Drosophila melanogaster: one gene and its partners. The protein of the gene in region 3 interacts with the protein of the main gene of each other region in a pairwise test. Each region holds a gene or a part of one and is shown on either strand. Other genes may lie near its edges.

Evidence for each region.
Region 1: the proteins of Crk (region 3) and CG42659 interact in a two-hybrid assay, tested with the Drosophila melanogaster proteins (one large-scale study listed by BioGRID).
Region 2: the proteins of Crk (region 3) and Doc1 interact in a two-hybrid assay, tested with the Drosophila melanogaster proteins (one large-scale study listed by BioGRID).
Region 4: the proteins of Crk (region 3) and CG9098 interact in a two-hybrid assay, tested with the Drosophila melanogaster proteins (one large-scale study listed by BioGRID).

What each region holds. Positions count from the first base shown.
Region 1 is NT_033779.5:18,005,179-18,008,718, reverse strand, and holds CG42659 (uncharacterized protein), read right to left. Parts: upstream 1,360-3,540; 5' UTR 1,226-1,359; intron 1,172-1,225; 5' UTR 1,152-1,171; coding exon 1,002-1,151; 3' UTR 877-1,001; downstream 1-876. Other genes in the region: CG42635 (uncharacterized protein), read right to left, coding at 1-291; CG42634 (uncharacterized protein), read right to left, coding at 381-725; CG5693 (uncharacterized protein), read right to left, coding at 1,718-1,936.
Region 2 is NT_037436.4:9,039,461-9,045,949, reverse strand, and holds Doc1 (Dorsocross1), read right to left. Parts: upstream 4,576-6,489; 5' UTR 4,411-4,575; coding exon 4,320-4,410; intron 4,122-4,319; exon of another isoform or gene 4,053-4,121; intron 3,918-4,052; coding exon 3,752-3,917; intron 2,563-3,751; coding exon 2,295-2,562; intron 2,227-2,294; coding exon 2,089-2,226; intron 1,606-2,088; coding exon 1,093-1,605; 3' UTR 908-1,092; downstream 1-907.
Region 3 is NC_004353.4:208,196-213,926, reverse strand, and holds Crk (Crk oncogene), read right to left. Parts: upstream 3,704-5,731; 5' UTR 3,565-3,703; exon of another isoform or gene 3,490-3,564; 5' UTR 3,473-3,489; coding exon 3,441-3,472; intron 3,370-3,440; coding exon 3,247-3,369; intron 2,338-3,246; coding exon 2,133-2,337; intron 2,074-2,132; coding exon 1,945-2,073; intron 1,813-1,944; coding exon of another isoform or gene 1,747-1,812; exon of another isoform or gene 1,653-1,746; intron 1,300-1,652; coding exon 1,198-1,299; intron 1,137-1,197; coding exon 912-1,136; 3' UTR 762-911; downstream 1-761. UniProt on the Drosophila melanogaster protein: Adapter protein which interacts with C-terminal portion of mbc, homolog of human DOCK180. May play a role in cellular processes throughout development.
Region 4 is NT_033779.5:6,006,496-6,014,510, reverse strand, and holds CG9098 (uncharacterized protein), read left to right. Parts: upstream 1-2,172; 5' UTR 2,173-2,274; coding exon 2,275-2,332; intron 2,333-2,399; coding exon 2,400-2,525; intron 2,526-2,575; coding exon 2,576-2,728; intron 2,729-2,784; coding exon 2,785-2,956; intron 2,957-3,277; exon of another isoform or gene 3,278-3,546; intron 3,547-3,840; coding exon 3,841-4,198; intron 4,199-4,270; coding exon 4,271-5,266; intron 5,267-5,321; coding exon 5,322-5,756; intron 5,757-6,008; coding exon 6,009-6,415; intron 6,416-6,473; coding exon 6,474-6,603; 3' UTR 6,604-7,147; downstream 7,148-8,015. Other genes in the region: H2.0 (homeodomain protein 2.0), read left to right, coding at 415-911, 1,014-1,256; Gal (beta galactosidase), read left to right, coding at 7,822-7,944.

The DNA of each region.
Region 1 (3,540 bases), on a different chromosome or scaffold from region 3:
ATGTTCACTGCCAAACTTAGGAAGCAATGGTCCTACAAAGGCACATGCCTTGCCTCCAATACTTTGTACCACGGAGCAGGCGCCATCCATGCGATCGCCCTCTACTAGAGGAGTTTCGCCCTCGACGGCGGACAGCTGATCCGCCACTGGACCACCGCGCCTCACAAGGTCAGCGATCGGATCACGGGTTTGGTTTAACACCCTGCCACCCACTTCAGTTAACGAACGGGAAACTACCATAAACAGGGCCACTATGCCCGCAACTCCGATGGCCGTGTGAACCATTTCCATATCTTGGGCAAAGGAGCAGGATCTTCTGGAGGATCAGGAGGGTCGATGTCGGATTTTTCGATCGACCACGATGACAAATAATTCTAGGGCTACTCTCCAGCCATCGCCGAGATGGTATTATAGGTCGAACGGGCCAAGTTTCGGATACTTCGCGAAATTTCATTTATCAGGTAGTTAATGTCATCCGAACTGACCACCTGCTCCTGGTCGACATGGTGCTCCGGCGTTGAATCGTTTACAATCAAGACTATTTTACGAACGGGCTGAATCATGCCGGATACATCGATCACGGGCTCCGACACATGGTGATCAACCAGAAATGCCTGATGCATGATGATCACCAATTGGCGGATTACTGGCACCACGCGATCGAGGACGTTGATTGCCATTGGGGCCAGTACGTGGTGTACCACGTGATCCACAGACGAGGACATGACCAAGAGACTTGAATTTTGAATTTAGAAAACTATTTTCACACAATTTGCGACCTGATAAACTAAAATTCCCAGGAGTTCTAATTTGAAATCTAAGCCATTTCGATTGGAATATTTATATTATTTCCCCAGCAATATTCAACAGTTTGGTGACGATGAATCAATTTTATTATTTCTCTACATAGATGTGTGCGAGGCTAATTGGTGTGCAGTTTCAAAGTTCAACTATATTTGTTCCCGCCGTTATTCTTGCATTTTATACAGGTACTCGTCTCGTCAATAGCTGCTATAGCAACGACTGTGCCAGCCACCGGGGGTGTATCCTTTGTAAATGTCGAAGTTGCACGGACATACTGCGCATCTCGGATAGGGGCCAATGTAGAAAGGGTTTATGGCCGGAGTCCAAGGACGACTTAAGTAAACCATTTTCAGCACTCGAAAGAAGTCTGCAAATCTTATTTTATAAATACATCTCCCACATTTTCTCTTTCGAAACTCACCGGAAATGGAAGAGAAAAATGAGAAATTTAAACAAATGTTTGACCAGAACAACACGTTTCGTGCTTGAAATTTGAATGAAGAAAATGCGTATGTACGCTTATGTGTTATTTTGTTGACATTTAAATCAAGAATGCTGGTTTAAATTTATTTGACTTCATTTTAGATAGATCATAAGAAAATGAATTAATTTTATCTGTATTTTTTATCCACAGTTATTTTGTGCTAAAATAGAAAAGAGCTGGTAATTTGAGGTTAATATATATTATTATTGTTTTTATTATTTATAGATATTCATTTTATTTATTTATTATTATTATTAATTTTTTTGAAATATAATGTTACAATATGACGGTTCGATGCCCAGGAGATGATGAGCTAAATGGGTTTAGCTCAAGATGTTTGAAGATATTAGCAACACACAACAAGGTTGTGTGTTCAGCACATCTCCAAAGGACTCCTGGTTCATTTTTGCAGCTTTGCCTTTTTCCCCACTACTTCTGTTCCCGGAGCTTCGGTTCTTTTTGGGCTTTCTGGTCCAGTGGTTGCTTCGCCGCGTCCTTGTTGGATTGTGGGGCGGGATTGCATCGGGGTAGTTGGGACTCCGGGCAAACTCCGCACTCCGGAACCGTGCAGTGGCCCTCCTCCAAGCAATCGGGGTCACAGCAGGGCGGATCGGGTCCAATGTAGCCCGGATTAAATATGCAAGGCATGCTGCAGCACCTCCACTGAAAACGAAGGTCGAGGCAGATGGCAGTGGCAAATTGGGTCCCACTTTATAGATTTTGTGAATTTACATAGATGCTAACTGGGTGCAATTTTCGGGCCGAGTGAGGCTCATAAATGTTCTCATTTCCATGGGTATTGAAACACAATGGAACGGGTAACTAGATGCCCGAGTTGCGCAAATCTCTAAACAAAGCTAGTTAATTTCGTACTAGAATCGATGCGAATAGCTCCCACATTGAACTCTATCTCCCAAAATCCGAATCAAAGTCCAATCGCCCTTAAAATCACCGGTTAGTGCGTGCAGAACGCTTATAATTATTTCATAATCGGGCAACACTTCAGTTTTATGGTGACAAAAGCCAGCGGAAAGATAACTGCAACTGCAGGCCATCGAAACTGGGCCACAAATGGCTGCAGGCACAAATATGGAATTTAAGTTGAAATTAATGAATAATTAAGCTGCTTTGGGCAGACGCTCGCAGCGGAAGTACAGCATTTGCATAGCTAACACAATGAACTACATACGGCCGGACAAGACTTGGCCGTTCATAAATTAGATATGCAAATGTAAATGCGAATGGAAAACTAACGGCAATTCCTTTGTCAATTAATCAATCAATCAACGCAGCCGCTCGCTGCGATCCAGAAAGCGATGCGGAAATCACTTGTCCCACATATGTACCTCTGCCCCCGCCCAGAAACTCCATCCATCGCCATTTCCCCCTGGCCACTGCATCTAGCTGCATCTGGCTGCATCTCCATTCATCTACATCACGCATGCCAATTTGCCTCAGCACGGTTTTTGATTGCCCGCTAAGTTCGGAGCGTTGTGAGCCCCCATCGATGCTTATCCCCCGGTTTTAAGGCGATGGCAGAGTCATTAGCATCAAAGGGCCATGGTGATATGACCAGCGCTCCTGGCAGCTCATCTGCACTGTGGTCTTTGCAGTGACCCAAAGAGTTTGAACCGAAGTGCTTTGACTTGGGTTAATTTGTGGGCTTTCAGCTTGGAAAGTATAAAAGTTTCACATGCATTGTTCAAGCACACAAAATACCGACAAAAAGACCGAAAAGGGTTTATTTTAATTAAATTGGATGTGATAAATCGAAAATAGTGATGTTTATGATTGAGGTAGATAGCATAATTTTAGTCAACACTTTAAGCTTATCATTATCATTAAAATATAAATAATTTTTCGGATTCGACCCACTGTGCAGCGTTGTCGGCTTTCAATGTCGCCGGCTGCAGCCATCAAAGTCGTGTGCACTATTTGTGTAATTTATATTCAAAGCGTAACGCGGTGCGTCGACTGCGTGTGTAGGTGGGTGGGGAAATGGGCGGTAAGTGGGTGTTGGGGCGGAGTGCTAGGGGGACGGTTCACTTGGTGGTTTTGGGACCGGTCACTCCGAGCAAACGGACTCTAGTGCCACTGAACTAAGTGCAGTCACGCGAACTGCTTTTAAGTGGCATAAGCAGAAGAACCCAATTCCTGCATAACCAATGAAGTTAAATATATTAGCTTACTCATTTTATTGCTCAGTTCTATAGACTAATAGTTTGAAACTAATGTGCAAAATCAATTAATTA
Region 2 (6,489 bases), on a different chromosome or scaffold from region 3:
CCTTTGAACTATCCGCAACGACTGGCTAGATAAATTCTCTGTGGTCCCATCTCCTTCTGGATGCACTTAAAAACTTAATTAAAAATATTAAACACGAAATGTTTGGCGCCACCGTTTAGGAAACGCTCAAAAGTGGACCGCACACATCCACGGAGCGCCGAGTTATCAGCTCAATTATGCAAGCTGAAAGGCAGCCGCCGGGCCACAGACAGATTTGTCGCATTTGACACGATAATGCACACAAGGAGTGACCACACCAAAGTCTCTCCAACCGACTCGGCATCGGTTTCTGTTTCGGTTTCTTGGCCAGCTCCCACTTCGTTTTGGCCTGGCCAATGGCCATAAAAGGTGCGATAAAACGAAAATTTCACAAGACGGCAACAGCAGCAAGTGCACTGCAAGAAAAGTGCTTCGATTTTGAAATGATCAGATGAATGTTGAATTTTTCTTTCTTTAAATTTACTTTAAAAACCATTTCTATTAGCAATACCATAAGCCAAAACTTACTTAGTTGAATTGAAATGTGTGATACTTTTTTTTCTCCGTGCACCCACCTCTGCGTCATCTCTGTGTCCCAGGGATGCGGATGGAATCGCAGGGGAGCTGGGAGTCGGCAAAGACCAAACAGCCTGAAAGCCGTCAAATCGCTGCTCATAATGGACGCCTTATCTTTGGAGAATTGCTTTAACTACTACCGGAGTTGGATGTTTTTCAGATACGTGTGACTCGAGAACCGACTGGTCACCATAATGGAGAGCATTAATTTGTCTTAGGCCCGCCAAAGCGGTCGCATAACTGCTTTTGGCCCAGGCACTGCGATATGGCCAAAAACCTGTAAAAACGGAAACGCTGAAGGTTACCGTTGCTCCCCCCCCCCCCGCAAATAGTTTTGCATTTTCTACGGATTCGATGTCTGATTTGTTTATTTTGACCAAAGACTCTTAAAACGAATTAACAATGTATATGATTGCAGCTTGGTTCTTAAACGATCTTATATGTAGCATAGATTAGCTTACAAAGTATATGCACACGTTTCTCACTAATCACAACAGAAGATGACTCCAACTTAAGTATGTTTACCAAATATTTCTTTCAATAGGCCAAAATGGCTGAAATGCTGAAGCTATTTCTTTTCGTTGAGGTTGAAGGCCTTGGTGATGTTGTGGGTGTGCTGGAGCCAACGGGTTGCGAGGCCACAGGACTAACAGGCGCGACAGTTGGCGCATATGTGGCTGGTGGCATTGGCAGAATCTGCGGAGGAACTCCACCAAAATAGGCAGCTGCAATGCTGGGCGGCAATCCGGCAGCTCCACTGGGTCCATAGCTCAAGTGATGGCGGAGATACGGCGACATAGGATTGGCAACTGGATGAGTTGCTCCATAGTAAGCTGGCGAAACACTACCCGTTGAGTCCTGCTCAAAATCCTGGCGCTGGCGCTTCGCCTGCGGAGAATCGCAGCTGCTCACACTGGAGCCATCATCCTCCGACTCCAGCGTCGAGTTTCCGCTGCTGTTCAGCTTCCTTTTGCAGCGGGATTGACCCGACTCGCGGAAACCCTTAGCGAACGGATTGTTATCGATCTTCAATTTGGTGATGCGATCGTTCTGCAAGCATGAGAACAAATTTATAAATTAATTTAAGCACATAAATGATTAATTACTATCAGTTTTTATACAACAATGAATTCTTAAAACGAATTAGCTCTAAATGTATTACTTTTAACACTTGAATTTTCAATTAGATCGTAAAAAGGAACAATAAATAAATTTACGGCCTTATAAAAAAGATTTGCAGATTAAATAAATATGTAAAAAAACGCGTAGTTTTAAATCTAATTTAAATAGTATGAAAAACGATCTCTATTGTTTTTGTCTGGTCGAAATTTAAACTACGAGGCGTCAGTAAGTAGCCGTCGGCTGGGAGGGCACTTGAAAAGTTCCACTGTGATCCTCGTTAGGATCAAACTCAAGTGGCTGGCTAGGCGACAAATTTGAAAATGCCTCAATTAGGCGACGACCCCCGCAGAGTCTTTGTCCTGTCAGACATGTCCTCAATGGAGGACGGAAAGGATGTTGTCTTTAACCCACCTGATAGGCTGTGACAGCTACGAACTCCGTCTCCGGGAAAACGAACGCCTGCTGAGGAGCCCATGGAAGTTGGGTGAGCTCGCTGCTGCGGATGATGTGCAGGCGTGGCTGGTACTTATGCATGCTGGCCAAAACGATCTGGAAATGTTAATGGAAACTATAAGTAACCCATTCAAAAGATACACTATGAGCTCACTCAAACTTACATGTCCGCTGCTGTCCAGTGTATTGTTGGTCAGTTTGACCTTGTTGAAGAGCAATGCCTGGGATTGCCAATGGGCACCGGTCGCCGGACTGTCCGGATGCAGATACATGCGCTGCGGACTCTGGGGCTCGGCTCCTCCGGCCGGAACCCACTGGGAACCGGAGAACTTGTAGCGGCAATCGCCAATGGGCACCATCTCGAGGAGTACGCAATAGCTGGCCTCCTCCTCCAGTCCGCTGAGGGAAACTCGCATCGAGGGGAACATGCGTCTGTAAGGATGAAAAGAATAGGACTTGATTAAGTGGCCTGCCACGAACTGCATATAAATCAGGGAAGGAGCATCGCAAAAGAAGGCGTCGCCCGGGCATCTATTCTATTTTACTTCATATCGCCTGTGATTTGTTGCCCCGGCTAACAAGTGTGTAATTATGGACCGAAAAGTAGAGGGCAGCGGGGAGTCTGCGTAGCGCAACGCATCGATTTAAAAGGTAACGCAAACAGATCTTGCCAGCCCAAAACAATATGCCAACGGCACATGATTAATTGTGTGGATCGTTGGTTCATGGAGGAGCACGGGGAGCAACAGAGTGCTGGAGGAGCTGGGGCAATCTGGCGCCAAGCAATTAGACAAAATCTGGGAGTCGCCCTAACGGCTTCCAAGCGTCGAATGCATGTCTAATGAGCCGAGAAAGTGACTGTTATCGCGGATTAAACAGCACAGAAAAATAATATTTCTACTGGATATTAATCATTTTCAATAAAATATTACGAAATATATATATATATAACAAATATATATTTATGTTCAAGATCTCTTGATTTCTATGATGCCCAGCCATATTCTAAGCCTTGGCCAAAAATAATGCTTGTAGTTGCACGATTTCTTTCCGTGTACATTTGCAACTTAAACTTCGAGTTCAGATCATAATTATGTAAATTTGTCTCGGCTCCCGCTCGGTAGTCGCTGTTCGATAGTTCCCCTATCTGAGATACGCTAGGGTCTGGTCTCATCGCTTTGGAGAAGGGTCACGGACAGGGCATGGAATGGTATGGTATGGTATGGTATGGTGGTATTGTGGGCAAAGTGTGAAAAGCGCAGGTAGATCGACCAAACCCGATTGTCAACGCCGAAACCGAGAGAAGAAAGATTTTTATGATCGGACCGGCGCCAGGGCGGCGTCTTGCTCTTGTGTTCTCCTCCGCCGACTACACTGCACTTGTTGTCACTCCGAGCGAGAGCTCCTGCTGCGTTTTGAGTTATGGCCAGGCGCCACATTAGGCCCGGGAAATCGAAAGGTTCAGGGTATAGGCATACTCGTACTCGTATGAGATAGGAATTGGGAAAGTTGGCCCTGGTACAGGAGCAAATATTTACATAGGCCGTGCGACGCACTTGACTTTTGGAAAAACTCGGGCTATTTGCATAGGATAATGGGTTCGCGGGAAAATGAAACTTACCGGCCGCTCTTTGTGATGATCATCTCGGTGCCGATTTTATGGAACTGTTGCCACAAATCGTTGTTCTCCAACTTGGCCTCCACGCCGGGCAGGGTGGGACGACTGGGCAGCATCATGTGCGGCTGCTGGTGGGGCATGTTGAAAGGTAACATCGATGGAAAGGGATCTGGAAGAAGCGGTTTGGTTAGTTCATTAGCATGGGTTTGCAATGGACCTCTTCAGGGAGGTGGGTGTTGCAGAAATCATATTTCTAAGTTAGCTGGAATTTCGCTATCTATTGTATTTTATCGGAATATAATACCTATTAAGATATGTTCAATCAAAGATTGAAAATAAAGGCAATGCAGTTATGACCACAATTTCTAGTTATAATGATAAGTTAAATTGAAGTAGAATATTTATTGCTCATAAAATCCGAAGCACTAATAATAATCACAATATTAAAACACTTTTAAGTACGCTCTTTTGGGTTGCATATATTTTCTCATATTTTTTAGTTTGAAAATCGCGAAACCATTTGCCGACGGCATTCGATCAACACCCATAGACCTTATGTCTAGAAACGCACCTGGAATCCGCTGCATGATCTGCTGGCGGTAGATCTCGTGGGCCAGCTGCTGCTGCATCCGCATATCCATTAGCTCTTGCATGGAAAGCATTTCGAAGCACTTGCACGGTGTATAGCACTTGGTAAAATGTCTTAGTACGTTCTGATAATAACTGGTAGTTTGGAATTCTTCACTGTTATTCACTCGCTCGTAACTGAAGATGCGCTCTGAGGTTCTTTCACGCTCGACGTTTCGCAACGAACTGATCTCGAGTAGCTCCGCTCGAGTGCTAACTCGCCGTGGGTCGCAGCCAGTTTTTCCCGATGCCAAGCAGGTAGCAGCTACGCTTGGAAAACCGGTTCTCCGTGGGCAGCGCCTGTGATTGGCTGGCGGAAGACGCCTACGCTATGTGGGTACTAGTGTTGTCCCACTCTGGCGAAGATCGGTGGATCGACGGTGGGCGCCATTTTGTGAGCAGCGGAGGAGCGGGAAAAGCGAACTGCGTGCAGCCGAGTGGCGAAGTTAACGCTTAGCCCTGTTGATTTTCATCAGCCGCAGTGTTTTTCTGCGCCACTGCCTTCAAGCCGCATTCCCTGTCTCCCTCTCGATCACTGTCAGTTAGGAGACTTGGATATATGTATGCATGTATGTATATGGATGTGGATTTAGCCGGGCTATGGCGTTGCTTGTAATTCAGAAGTGAGATTTTCCACAGCGCGCCTGTCTGCTGTCTTCAGCTGCCGTTGCCTTTTCTTCTCCTCTCGGTTTATTCTTTTTTTTTCTTGTGTGTCTGTTTCGTTTTTATGTTTTTTTGTTGGTTTTGGCGCTGTCGGAAAATGTCCGTTGCCATTTCCATTGCAGCCGTCTTCCGTTTGGGCGCTGTCCCTCCGTCGTTTGCCATGCCCCCGTGTAATTAGCTGGGTTCCCTATCTTCGACATTGTCTGGCATTTCTCGGGTATTTATGTACTTTGCTGCAGACAGGTGAAACATAAATTTTGTTGGCTTTGTTAATTGCCCGTTTTGGAATTTCGATATGCTATGCCCTCGCTATTGATTTGCCCAAAAAAAAAAAAAACTGAGAAATGGAAAATCGAAATTCATATAGTTTTTGGGCTCTGGCTCGAGGGCCTATTGATTAGTGCTTGTCAGCATTGGAAATTGAGGGCTTAAGTGCCTGCGGGTGGAAGTAGATTGAAATGCACATTCCTATATTCACAGGAAGTATTATAATTGATACTTAGTGAGCCATTGATCATTTAAAACACATTGGACTGAAATACGTTAACGAATAGCTATATTATTCTAAAATATATTAAGACTTACTTACTTACTTAACTTAACTTATTCATCAACGCAAATTGAAAACATGCAATGATTTGTAATTTAAAGAAAAAGGAATAACTTAAATCCAATTTATTTGAAACACCATTTTTATAGAACTTAATTTTTAAATGGTTCTTTATCATTTCCCTTATTTCTTGTGGTCTGAACAAATTTTTGTATTTGGATAAAATAGAAACAATAACTCTGTGAAGATTTATTTGCGATTTTTAGTACTATTACTTTTACTTTAATTACTACTTTAATCAGTTGAACTAATTATAGAATTTGATTAGTTATCTATCGATTTTCTTTCAGGACAAGCTACATACAATTTGGTTCAAATGCCATTGATCTTGAACTTGATTCAACTCATAAGTGCATTCATCAGACAAATCTGTCGACAGACATGCGTTTATTTCCTTGACTCGTCGCCAGCAAATAATTTCAAGCTTGAGTTCGCATTCAGTGGACTAGAAAGAAAGTCAATGTCGAAGAGCCTCTATTAAATTAGCATTTCGCTGTCGCCCTGGCACGCTCTTCCGAGTAATGCCCATTCCCATGTCCCAGTCTCCACTGCAACTCCGGATCCGGACGAGACGGCATATCTCCGGTGCTTGGCCAGCTGATGATGATGACTGGAGATTTCTGGCAGCGAACGGCGCCAGAGAATCGTAAAATATTTTTATACAAATATCGCAGCAGTTAGAACAAAAGATTTGATTTGAAAATGTAACGCTTCACGCCTGCAAAAATACCGACAAAGAAATGTCACACAAAAGACAGTGGGATGCAAGCAGATCTCTGTTCAGATACACTAGGTGGACCTTCGGATAAATCAGGTGTAATTGCGTCATGCGGGTGCATGG
Region 3 (5,731 bases):
AGCCGCCCAAAAATGCTTTGTCGCCCGTTATCAACGTGGTAGCTAGTGGTTTGCTTAGGACCTCTCGTGTTTAGAAGCATTCTCGGCAGAGAACCAGTAGTAGCGCTGGCCTTTTTGTGGGCGTACTCTAGGTGCTCTCGGAACGTGGTATCAGGAGAAGCACTAACTAACTATTGATCTAAAGATACACATTATTTTAACGTTCCAGGAAGATAGGTCTTGCGTGATAATCCACACGAACGACATGAATGAAATCATATGATGCTGCAAAGTATATGTCATAGTTTTAATACTGCGTTGGTGATGCGTCGGTGATTAAGGATTCGACGTCAAATTAGTTTGGGCAGCTTGTAGAGTTGGTGCCTTAGAGGTAGGTTCTGTTAGCCTCGAATTATGGACGTTTGGAAATATCAAATTTTGGAAGGTGGTCGAAGGGCCAAATAAGGACCTCTTTGCGGGTGATAAAAAAACTTCTGGCGTTCTGGCGTTACTCGGAGATGTATCCGGCTTTTGGGGTCTTTGTATATTGAACAGCCTTTATATGGTCAGAAGCGCTTTCTTCCACCTGTTACATACTTTTCAACGAACCTATTGTAGTATTCCCTTTTACTCTACGAGTAACGGGTATAAAAAATATAAGGCCCAAAGGGTTTTCTGTAGCACCTACCGTTTAGTTACACAATTCATAAAAAAAACCAAATCGATTTTCAAATTCATAATTTTTTTGTATAAGAATCATACGAAAAAACGGTAAAAATTTTATTATGTCCTTCGTACCCGTTTATTTTTATTTTACTTAATAAGATTTTAATTTTCTGATTATGTTAACAATTGGTATGCACAACTTATTAATCATACAATTAGCTCAAAAATCAAAATTATCAAAAGAAATTCCTTCCATTCCTTCCTATTTAGCATATTTCTGTGGAGTTTTTGCTTAAATCACAATCATCGACAAATTCAACGTGCGTGAAGGGAAAATGACCATTTTTTCCATTTAATTCTCCCTCCCATTGCCCATTAATGTTTGTTTTAGTGACTTTAATAATGTCACCTATTTCCAATTTTAATGCAGTCTTATCGTATGCGTTAGGGACCCTTGACTGTTTTACGCGGGCGTATGCAGGTAGTTTTCGCTTCGATAAATTAAAATGTAAAACATTATTTTTTTTTTAAATACTTTTTTGGAACACTTACATTTAAATCTGTCCTTTTAAGAGTACTTTCAAATACATTGCTAGATCCCGAAATGGAAGGTTCGTTTTTATCAATAGCATCTTCATCCATATAATCGTCATACTGAAAAGAACAAATTTGAAAATGATTTAACTTTTAAAAATCAATGCCTTTAACAAACTTATTTATCAAAGGTCGTTCGCAATTTGGCCTTCTCTATTTAAGCGGACGAATATATTGAAGGCAATGGAGCTTGTCCATTGTCAGTTTAATTCAATGCAAATGGTTTTTGTAATGGATTTTATAATGTATTGAGATTGTAGTCAGACTTTAAAGAATCTAATCGCAACAATTTAAGGGTATTATTACATGAACTCAATAATTATTTCTGAACAAGTTTCTCGGCTATCAGATACCCGCTAGTCATAAAATAGGCGTGGGGAAAAGAGCTCAATTTACATTTTTTACATACATACATATATTTTTACATATTTACTTCTGGCGACTCTTTGACATTATTGACCCTTATACGTCTCACTAGTTTTCGGGTTTCTTTCTGATTTTACATTATTAATATCCTAGCGTTAGTGTCGCCGTATCGAAAGTTTTATTTGCATTCCATAAAAATTGACGCGACTGGTTTTACCGAATTCACCATTCATTTCAAGTGTAGTATTTTAACATCAGCGTTATAAGGAAACAAAGAAATTAAAAACGGGTTACCCGTTACAAAAAAGGATAACAAATCCAAATATTTGCTTAACGCACCTGTTGTATATAGGGAACCGGTATTTGACCAATTTTCCCCGAGGAGTTACGCGCAGTCCACCATTGATCCTCGTCTTTTCGAACTATTGTTAAAACTTCACCTCTTTGAAAAGGTAAATCATCTTGATCCTTTGATAAATAAGAAAATTAAATTACTTACAAAAATGAATAATTGTGTAAATGCTCACGCTGCCAACGAAATCGAACTTTCCTATTACTTTTTCCACCCTTCTACACGCAGGCCGTTTTAAAGGGGTTGTATCCAAATAATGAAGAGTGTAAAAAGTTAAGAGTTTCGGTAGATTGTCAAAAGACTGATCCCCAATGCGGTAAACGATTTGATCCTGTTGTTGAACTTTGTTAATGATGTAGTTGCTAACTTTTGTATCTTCTCTAAATAATAAAAATCTTTATAAGTAAACAATTCTTTTATAACAGGCGCAAAATCCTTAAAAACTAAACAAAAATTTGTTTCAAGTTTAAATATGAAAACCTATTTTTAATATTCTAATGTATATACATTTATATTAATAAAGAACTTTTAAAATCAAAAAGAATATTCTTGAGACGTTTATTCATCTAATTCTTTAATAAATGCCGCGTGGCGAGACATACAGTAGAAATTGAGTTCCTTTAATTCGTAATTATTTTTGTTTACGTCGTTAAATTCTTCAATTTATTTACCCCGTCAATACATGGCGCACATATTAAAAACATACTAAATTGCAATGGCTATGAGAGATCATCATTGACATTTTATCATCGTCCTTAAAGGTACATTCCATACTAAATTAAAGAAATACAAAATTGACCATAGACCCTTGCCATTGGATCTAAATATCAAACAAAACAAGAGAGAACCCGTTACTCAGCTAGTTGAATGGGAAAGAGAAATTTCAAAAATTTTCTGGGAAAGAAATAATAAAACAAACACAATTTTTAAGGTTTCCCAAAACTGAAACACACAAAATTGATAAAAATTTTTAGATTTCTCTTTCTTATTACTTTTTTCACCCAGGTCTATTAAAAAGAATATCCTTTTTTAATGTAAGAAATTTGTTTATATTTAAAAATTACAGATAAATGTTTAAAGTACATCTATAAAACACGTATACATGCTTAAAATGGAAACAGGAATTTCTATATAAACCTTTATGGTAAGCTGCGATTAAGAAAGGCTGACATTAAGTATTTCTCACTATACACAATTTTTAGTTTAATTTTTAAAATAAAAATTAGCTAACAGAAATGAAACGATAAGTACACAATCAAAGTCTGAATGTATTAATTTTGTTTACTTACCTTACACAAAGTACATAATCCCCTGCTATCGAGTTACTATCACGGACTAAAAACACTCCCCGCTCGCGTTCGTTCATCAAAACTTCAGTAGCATCCTGTCTAGACATGGGACCAAAGTACCAGCTTTAAGAACACATTTTGATGTTAAAACAATTGATAGTTTTTGGTTTAATCTTCACTTGATCTTAAATTACCTGTTCCTATCAGAAACGTCAAATGTATCCATTTCCGTTTAAGGTTTATCTTAGACAAATTACAACAAATTCCGTCCAGATTAAATAAATAGAAATTATGTGATATAATGCAAATATAGCATACAGCCTATTATATACCAGAATTCTTCAGTGATTTCATTTTCGAATTTCTGGCCTTAAAACATTTGCCTTTTATATGTGTATCTGGCTGGGCCACACATAGAAACACTATCGATAATGTTTGATCGATTATTTCCACTTGGAAGTTTTATGCCAATATTGTACCGTAGAACCGTAATGCGGCACTTGCACAGGGCACATTCGATTGAAAAGAACTCCTTCGAGCAACTGCTCTGTGGTGGTAAACCCCTTTAGGACGTACTGTCAGCTTTTAAAATCTAAATGTAAAACCGTGATCAATGCATATCAATTTGATATTCTAATTTTTAAGTAAAACCGATATATTTGTTCTTCTGTTCAATTCAAGGATATTTACAGGAATATTAGGAATACGAATATATCTGGTTGACATGTTATTTTGACTCCACAACTGATCAGCTGTCAATCGTAGAAAATCCGCATATGTTGCTAAGATCGGCAGCTAAATAAGATTTGGAGCAATCCGATCAATCCGCTGTGGAGGGAGCCCACCCTGGGATTGCTAAAGATTCCGAATTGTCTGCACTGGTTTCTTAACCAGTGATTCTACCTGTCCCGATTAGTTTACCACCACAAGGGAACATTGAGTCCGGACTCCCGGCACAAGTTGGCACTTCAGAAATACAATCTGCAGGGCCAAAACCACTCGCGGTGATTCCACTTAAGAAACAAACTTTCGTTTCTCGGTTTTCACCTGATCAAAAATCATCTGATGTATGGTCTTATATGCAAGACAAAACAAAAGTCGATAATATAAAAGTAATATAAAAGTGGAAAAATTTAACTTATCTTACGCTATGGACATAAGATATATAAGATTTTGAAGCTAGGATCAAAAATAGGAAAAAGGGGCCCGTGGGAAATAAACTTTCCTCACATGGCCAGACCACTGCACCATCCGCCTCTTCATCTTCTTCAAAAAACTGACAACGAATCTTTGTCCGAATCTTTTTCCTATCAAAATGCTAGAGGTTTGCGTAGCATACTAATCAAATTATATTGTAATAGCCATTCCTTTGCATGCTCAAGATATGACCAAAGCAAAGACACTAGAATAATTCTAGTGTCTATGATATGACTTTTGCAATAAACAGTTTACATATTTTTTTTATTTTTATATATTTTTGTTTTCTACTTCGTATTATTTTTATGAAATATTTATTTCTCAATGTAATGTCTTCTTTTTGGAAAATGTATGTTTTAAATTAAAGTTGTTATAATAATTTCCGTATATATTTAGTATATTTCTCAAGTCATTTGACTTAATATGATGTATGTAAAATTTTTGTTATTTAAAATGCACATTAGATTTAGTTGTTTTTCAGTTCCAGTTTTTTTTTTTTTTTTTTTTTTTGTTATATTTCAATTTGATATTTTTAACAGCGCGCAATTTCATCAAATATGTAAACTCGTTTCTTCGGTCAGAATTGATTTCGGCCCGAAATCGTCTTCTAGAACAACACGCACACATATACGCGTTCTCGTCTCTTGTTTTTACTTACTCAAGCAAGCAAGTTCTATTTTAAGATTTCTTACGCTCTCAGCGTAAGCTAGCGGACAGAGAGCAATTTTGGCCGTCACCAAAAAAGTGGCTGCATAGTGCCAAACCAAAGACACTAGAATAACAAGATGCGTAACGGCCATACATTGGTTTGGCACTATGCAGCCACTTTTTTGGTGACGGCCAAAATTACTCTCTTTCGGCTCACTCCCGCTGAGAGCGTAAGAAATCTAAAAATATAATTTGCTTGCTTGTGTGAGTAAAAACAAGAGACGAGAACGCGTATAAGTGTGCGTGTTGTGCTAGAAGACGATTTTCGGGCCGAAATCAATTCTGATCGAAGAAACGAATTTACATGGTACATATTAGGGTAGTTTTTGCCAATTTCCTAGCAATATGATAAAATAAAAAAATTTTTAAAAATTCGCGCCCTGAATATTATAATTTTAAAGCTTTTTAAATTTGTTTGTTAAAATCGCCGCTCGAATTAGCTACCGTTTACACATTTATATTTATGTTTAATTCTAATTTGTCTCTCATCTGACAATTTTTTAAAAGCGAAATATTTTTTTTGAAACACTTTTAATGTTAATGTTACATCATATTAAGTCAAATGATTTAATAAATATAC
Region 4 (8,015 bases), on a different chromosome or scaffold from region 3:
TCGCGCTAGAAGTAAACAAATTTCGTTTGCCCCCCCTAGCCACAAAACGCTTCAATGATAATTTCCAATTAAGTGAAAATTTTATTATAAACAAGCCCATTTAAAAATTCTCAACATGCATTTTATTGATCAAAATAATTTACTCAGAAAACACAAAAAATTGAATTTCATATTTTCTTTGGCGAAACAAGTATCATTTCTTTGGCCGGCGATAAATGTATTATTTCCTGCGGATGCAATGTGCTACCAAGGGAGGATGTTGTCCATAACTAATGGTAGTTTTCCTATAAAAATAAATATCCAAATTGGTGCGTAAAAAACGCACCGGATTCAGTATAGCAACAAATTAAGAGTTATTGCTAATGAAGGAAGTATGAATCTCCCAATTGACTTTAACATTCCATTCCCGAACAGCCGCACCCACTTATCCCACGCTGGCTACCAATGCGCTCCTCCGCTTCCATCAACATCAGAAGCAGCAGCACCAGCAGCATCATCATCATCAGCACCATCCCAAACACCTCCATCAGCAGCACAAGCCCCCGCCACACAACTCGACGACAGCCTCGGCGCTACTGGCGCCGCTCCACAGCCTCACGAGCCTCCAGCTGACGCAACAGCAGCAGCGATTTCTGGGCAAGACGCCGCAGCAGCTCCTGGACATAGCGCCCACCTCGCCCGCCGCCGCCGCCGCTGCCACATCCCAGAACGGTGCACATGGACATGGAGGTGGCAATGGCCAGGGCAACGCCTCAGCCGGAAGCAATGGGAAGCGCAAGCGATCCTGGTCTCGCGCCGTCTTCTCGAATCTGCAGCGCAAGGGCCTGGAGATTCAGTTCCAGCAGCAGAAGTACATCACCAAGCCAGATCGCCGCAAGCTGGCGGCACGACTGAATCTCACCGACGCTCAGGTTAGTTAAAAGATGGGATTTTCATAGTTTAACATTTGCACATTCGACTCCTTTCATAGCTCTATAAAAACCAATATATTATTATTTTTATACCCTGATTAGGTCAAGGTGTGGTTCCAGAACCGTCGCATGAAGTGGCGGCACACGCGCGAGAATCTGAAGAGTGGCCAGGAGAAGCAGCCGAGTGCAGTACCCGAATCCGGAGGTGTCTTCAAGACATCCACGCCATCCGGTGATGGTACGCCCCAGGAGGCACTCGACTACAGTTCCGATAGCTGCTCCAGTGTGGATTTGAGCGAGCAGGCCGACGAAGATGATAATATTGAAATCAATGTGGTGGAGTAGAGCCGCCTATGTAGATAGCTCCGTTTACACGTGTAAAATGCCATGTAGATGTATTTATTCCTTCATTGCTAGTTGTAATGTAATGTAAAGTAGACAGATACTGCACAAAGTGAACTTAAATTATTTCAATCTGTAAGATAATCTAAACGTTTATGTGTAAACTATTTAAAATAAATTCTCTAGTAAAATGAACTTGTGAATTCACAGCTTGGTTTATTATTAATTTATTATTCACTATTCCATAGAATGAAGCTATAAAAATACGCAATGCTACGCGGCAAGAACAGAAATTTTAATTAAGCAAATACCGCTGCGATCAGCAGAATATGAAACTCGGCGACAACGGGGAGACCTTCTCTAATCAAGTGAACGATAAAAGACGATACGCGACTGAATGGCCAGAGCAAATACGACTGGAGTGAGTTGGTCAAGCGCGGGGGTGCGAATGGGTTTATCCAATACGATCGGATCGGTTGGTGGATCGCGACAGGGGAGTGAGAGGAGGGGGCACTGCGGATATAGAGCACTAATTAGAAAAACAGTGAGGGTAAATTGTTGGTGCACGACATTGAAATCTTACTCACTTGGGCTTTATTGTCATTGTCGGTCTCTTTGGCTGAGTTCGTTCATTTTTTCAATTACTTTAAGACTCCGCTGAAATTATAGAAAACTATAAAAAAATAACAACGATTTATAGCTGAATTTAAAGAACATTACTAAATAGAGAATAGAATAGAAACAATAAATATATATTACTCATACTTTAGCTGCAATCTTACGTTCATATATGATTTATAATTATATGCGTAATTCCTTTAGGGTATTTAACAGTCGGTGAATGACATATGCAATTTCAGCTCAGTTGAAGAAGTCTGTTTGGGCAACATTTGCTCACGTTCAGTTGTTTTTCCCAAAGCGAAGTGCGCGGTTGAGTTTCAGCTTAGGTGTTTGGTACTGCTCCAGAATTTAAAGATCTTTCAGATCTGCACATTGGATTTGCAAAGATAGCCTGGGCAACATGGGCAACACCCAAGCCCGACAACTGGAGAACCGCCAAGTGCCGAATCGGAGGAGCAGTGAGTGGCGAAAATACGGTTTCCGATTCTGATCATAATGATCACACATTTCGTAACCGCTTCGTAGGCATTTTGTGGAACTTTCGGTACTCGAACACAGTGCGTCGTCGCGAAGATTTGGCCGTAATGGTGCACAACTCTAGGATGAGCATAAGCGAGTGGCTGGACCTTCTGGAGCTGCAGCAGTACGAAGGTTTGCATGATCAGCAGTTCCCAATTGAGACTGTATGTTATGTTAACCAGGAAACCTACAGGAGTTCAGCACCGTGGACGATGTGGTGGACATCACGGACAAGGAGCTGAAGCAATTTGGCGTGCGCGGTGCCCATCGCCAGCGGATGGTCAACAGTTTGCTGGGTGTTCGTGCCAAGCGAAGGCAGTCCATGAATCTGGAAGGTAAGCCAGTGAAACGTAGTTCCCCCCACTGAGTTATCTACTCGTATCTTGTCTAGCAATGAGCAGTGCGCCGCGAGCAGTGCCACGGCGCAAGAACTCCTGTCCATTGGTGTATCTGGGTGAGAATCCTCAAGATATGGCGGGAAGCGGCGATAGCGGACCCGGCGTGATTACCACCAAGAGTGGCAAGGTCCTGAAGCAACTAACCTTTGATGAGACTTCCACCATGTAAGTGTGCATTTCAGAATTCAACCCTTCAAAATCTTCTTAAATTTTCCATGCTATTATATTATGCTAATAATAGTTGCAAAAGTATACCACATCCGGCATGTTGGAGTTTTAAAACTAAAATATTCAACATCCTCCACAACATCCACAAGATTTCTTTTTACCCTCAATGGACAATCATAACATAGACTCTGCGCATGCTCCGCGAATTTCCCAAAAAAGTGACTTCGGGCGTCCTTAGAGTTTTCCAACAAAACCCAAAACAAACTGCGCGGAGTAGCGTGGTGCACAGAAATCGGTGTCCAACCCCCAAAAGTGCACCGCACTCGAGTCCTTTGCCGTGAACTTTTCAGAGTAGATTCGAGCGGCAGGGAGTTCAGACTACTACAATACGAAGGACCTTAAACTGCACTCCTTTTTTTTTCGAGACTAGTTCTGTGCTAGTGAAGTCTATCTATTTTCAAATGGAGAGTTTTGTTTAGAAATCGTATTATTCAGGCAGCTGGTGAATCGAGTTCTTTCGTACTACTGAACAATTGGGTTTGGGTGTGTCCTGTCCTAAATTTTCTACTACAAAATGGGCGTAGCAGGTGAGTGATAACAGAGGCAAGTCGATTTCCTAAAAAAACTAAATCCTTTTAGTTGGTATATAAGTTTTTTGAAGTTCCATTCAGTTCATTATGGCAAAACATTAGGTCTGCAATTTGATTTCTTCTTTTTTTGCACTTGAACTTCACACATATAGTGAGTTGTCCATATACCAAGGACCAAATCCTGTGGGAGCAAATTTCCCCAAAGCCGCCTGTGGGAGGAATGGCCTATGATACTATAAAATTACCCAAAATAAGGGAAATTTACTCACTCATTCGTCTTTCCATTGACAGCTACGAGGAACTGAGGCCGCGCTCCAAGTGCAACAGTCCCCATTGGGCCATCGAAGACAGCAGGATGGAGGGCTATGGGAGCAGCAATGCCACCACTCCGCTGGCCACCGCCCAGCCCAGTCCCAGCGAGCAACAGGAGGCCATCGCCCTGAAGAAGGCGCTCGAGTGGGAGCTGAGTTTGGACGCCAGGGAGCTGCGTTCCCACGCCTGGTACCACGGCGCACTGCCACGCCAGCGGGCCGAGGAGATCGTGCAGCGCGAAGGCGACTTCCTGGTCCGCGACTGCGCCTCCCAGCCGGACAACTATGTGCTCAGTTGCCGGAGCAAAGCGGCTGTACTGCACTTCGTACTTAATAAGGTGGGTTCGCACTGTTCTTGGCATTGGAGTACCAGTTTACCAAGTAGTATCTGATGTGGTTATGCATTGCAGTTGGTGCTTCAACCGGAGACGGTTTACGAACGTGTGCAGTACCAGTTTGAGGAGGATGCCTTCGATACGGTGCCCGACCTAATTACCTTCTACGTGGGATCCGGCAAGCCCATCTCGTCAGCATCGGGAGCGCTCATTCAGTTTCCCTGCAATCGCACCTATCCGCTCTCCTTCTACGGCCACAAGATCGTGGGCAACCAACTGCACACGCAGATGCTGGCCGGTCTGCGAGGTCTGAGTCCTCTGAACTCGCCGATGGGCAGCAATGGTGCAGTGGGAGCAGGTATGAACGCTACCTTTCGCTTCGAACCGCAGCAGCAGCAGCAGCAACAGCTCTCGCCGATGGCTGGCTCACCGGCCAGTCCGCACTGCTCGCCGCCGCGGGCGCGTAGAGAGGTGCCTCCACCGCCGCGGCTGCCGTGCAAGAAGCAACAGCGCTCCCAGAGCCTCACACCGGCCCAGGCCATGTTGGTCAGCAACATCAACAAGCTTCAGGAGCAACAACTACAGATGCAGGAGCTCGAGAATGGCAATGGCAACGGAATAATGCGCTTCCAGACAATCGCCAGGTGCAATCCGACCAGTGAGCAGCACCTGGAGAGCAAGTTCACAACCCACTCGCTGCCCAGACCCAACACTTCGGCGGCGCACGCTCTGCGCCAGCAAGCGGTGGCCCGAATCTCGAGCCTGGCGAGAAACTGCAGCCTGGACTCGCCGTCGGACTCACGGCCGCCCAGTCCGCCGCCCAAGCCACGCAAGGAACCCATGGCAGCGGTGCTGGCATACCAGGCCAGTGGATCCGACTCGGGGAACGGGTCCGGTGATTCGGCTCTAGGGGATGCATGTGAGGCGAGCGTACAGCGGGGTGTGATAATCAAGAATCCCCGATTCATGACCACTTCGGTCTCGAACGGAACGCTGAAGAGCTTCACGGAGTTCGACGTCCTGGCCGCTGAGGAAGAACTATTCACCATGGCCATAGAAGAAGTTAAAACAGTAAGTTAAAGGCTAGCTTTAAAAACTTAATTTTACCATTTATTTGCGTTTTTAGGCAAGCAAGTTTGACTTTGAGAACTTTGTTACTTTGCTACTGCCATCTGTGGAGAACAAGCCCCTGGATGGCGATGCCCTCAACACGTTCAAGATGATGCTTCTGGAGACGGGCCCAAAGCTGCTGGCGGAGCACATCACTCGCATCGACATTGCCCTGTTTTTGGAGGAGCCGTCGAACGAGGAGGACTACTATCTGAGCTGTTCGGGTCTTGAGCTGCTAACACTGCCCCATGGAAAGGTCTTTAGGGAGGACATAATAGAGCGGACGCAGTGCATCAAGCTGATGGTCGCTGTGACCATACTCACCTGTCAAACGGATCTGGACCGAGCCCAACTGCTCAGTAAATGGATTCAGATCGCAGTGGAAACTAAGACGGCTCTCGGCAATCTGTTTGGATTCTGCGCCATCATGTTGGGCCTGTGCATGCAACAGGTGAATACTCGTTCGGTGCAGTGTACACTAAAACAAATTACTTTTTAGTTAGTTTAACGCCGAGAGGTATAAACAAGTACATTAGGTCATCACAGTTTTTTGCTTAGCAAACGAGTGATGATTTAGATGATCTTTTTATTATCACAGTTAATCACACGTGAGCAATTAGCAGTTTGGCAACTTGTTTGCAAACCATTAAGCTACATTGTTAGAGCGATACATCATAACCGATTGTCCCACCACCTCTTTCAGATCCAAAAGCTCGACCAGGCCTGGCACATCCTGAGGCAACAGTACACGGACAGCGCCTTCACCTTCGAGGCCAAGTTGCGACCCACGTTGAGCATCATGAACGAGGCCTCCAATCCACAGGCTCCAAACACAACCGTTCCCCATGTTCTGCTGTATGCACTACTGATCGATCGACCCGTTATGGACATCATAAACCACTCCAACATTGACGATCGCCCAGCTCTGTACCACACCTGTATTGCTCCTTGGGAGTCGAAAGCGGATGACTTTGGCATGACCATTAATTTCCAGCACCTGGATGCATCGCGTGGCTTCCTGAAGAACTTGGAACTGTATCGAAAGAATGCCAAGATCATCCTGGAGGATGCTAGTCCTCGGCTCGATGAGCTTCTAGCTGATGCTTTTCGGTAATATGATAGAATACACTATTCTCGAGTCTTCCTCAAGTTTCCCATATCCTCACAGAACCGAGTTCCATGTCAAGTTCCTATGGGGCAGTTCCGGAGCAACGGCCAAGGCCGAAGATCGGCACAACAAACTGGAAAAGGTGCTCACCCTGATGGCCGACAAGTTTTGCATGATGGCCGAGCAGTAAGCTGTGAAATAATATGGACTTAAGTTTCTGGCCGATATCAAATGAACTAACTTAAAGCGAACCTATGCCAGGACCTCCTATCTACTATCCACAATGTCTCCAGACCCTCCGCATCTTTAAATTTCGTGCTGTCTCTACCTCAGCCTGAGTATACATATATCATTTCAGCAGAAACACAAAAGCACTTTATGTTACAGTTCAAATACCGTTTAATCCTTAGTTAAGTTAAATTTAGTATTGTACGCGTATGCAAAACGAACTAGTTATCATATTTTTATGGAAAAACTCTTTAAGAGCCACCTCACTCTGATGTACTACCAAAGTCTTGTATTTACTTACCAATCCCATTATTTATTCTATGCAATAACTTACTCGACTATAGAAGAGACAATATACATTAATCAAAAAAAAAAAAAAAACAAAAAACATCGTAAGCAAACATACTCTCTCACAAAATGATATAGGCATAACGCAATGAATGCATAATTTTTGCAATTTTGTATATGTAAAGATAATGATAACAATAAAGAAACTACTTAAACCCAAATGAATGTTATCTCTTTAGAGGTTTCCGACCTCTGGTTTACAATGCTTGCAGACTTTACTTCGCATTAAATTCATATTTTCAACACAAAGGTTATGATTATTATTATTATTATTAAGTATTAAAATCAAGTAAAAGACCCCTACGGGTATTTTTAAGATTCTTATATTTTTAACTTTCGTAATGACTTTCAAAAATTGGACATCACTTAGGGGGACCGTAAATAGCTTATAGAAAAAGCAATGTCAACCAAATCTTAGCCTAATTAGCCCAATCAGCAAACACGTCGATTAACATTACGGCACTCTGGAGTACTTATAAGCTGGAAAAGCACTTGTGCGGATGGAAAATATCTCAACGAGGAATTCAAAACGAATACCGATTAGCCGGCGAAATGTACAGCACTATCAGCCACTCCAGCGGCGACCAACAGGCCTTATCGGGCCACCAGGAAAGGCGCGTCCAAAGTTCCCAAGGCTGGCCATCCAAACCATAACTCAAACTCACTGTCCACTGCCCACCAGCCATTACCCTGACATTGTGCTCCCGTCGGCACTGGCGATCGGTTGTGTATTCTGGTCCACCCATCCGAGTGGAGCGAGCTTTCAAGCAAGCTTATATCGCTAGCGATACATTTGTGGTGTTTCTCCAAGCTCCCAAGTCGGCTCTTCAATATGAGCGGTTGTCGTCGCAATCGAAAGCTGACGATGGCCGTAAGTGGATGTCTGATAATTGCTGTGATGGCCCTCACCGTTGGGCTTTGTGTGGGACTGAGCGGTGACACCGACGCCCCCGAGGTGAGAATAATAATTTACACGAACATACAACCTGGGCAATTGGGTCAGGTCAACTTACATTTACAGGATTA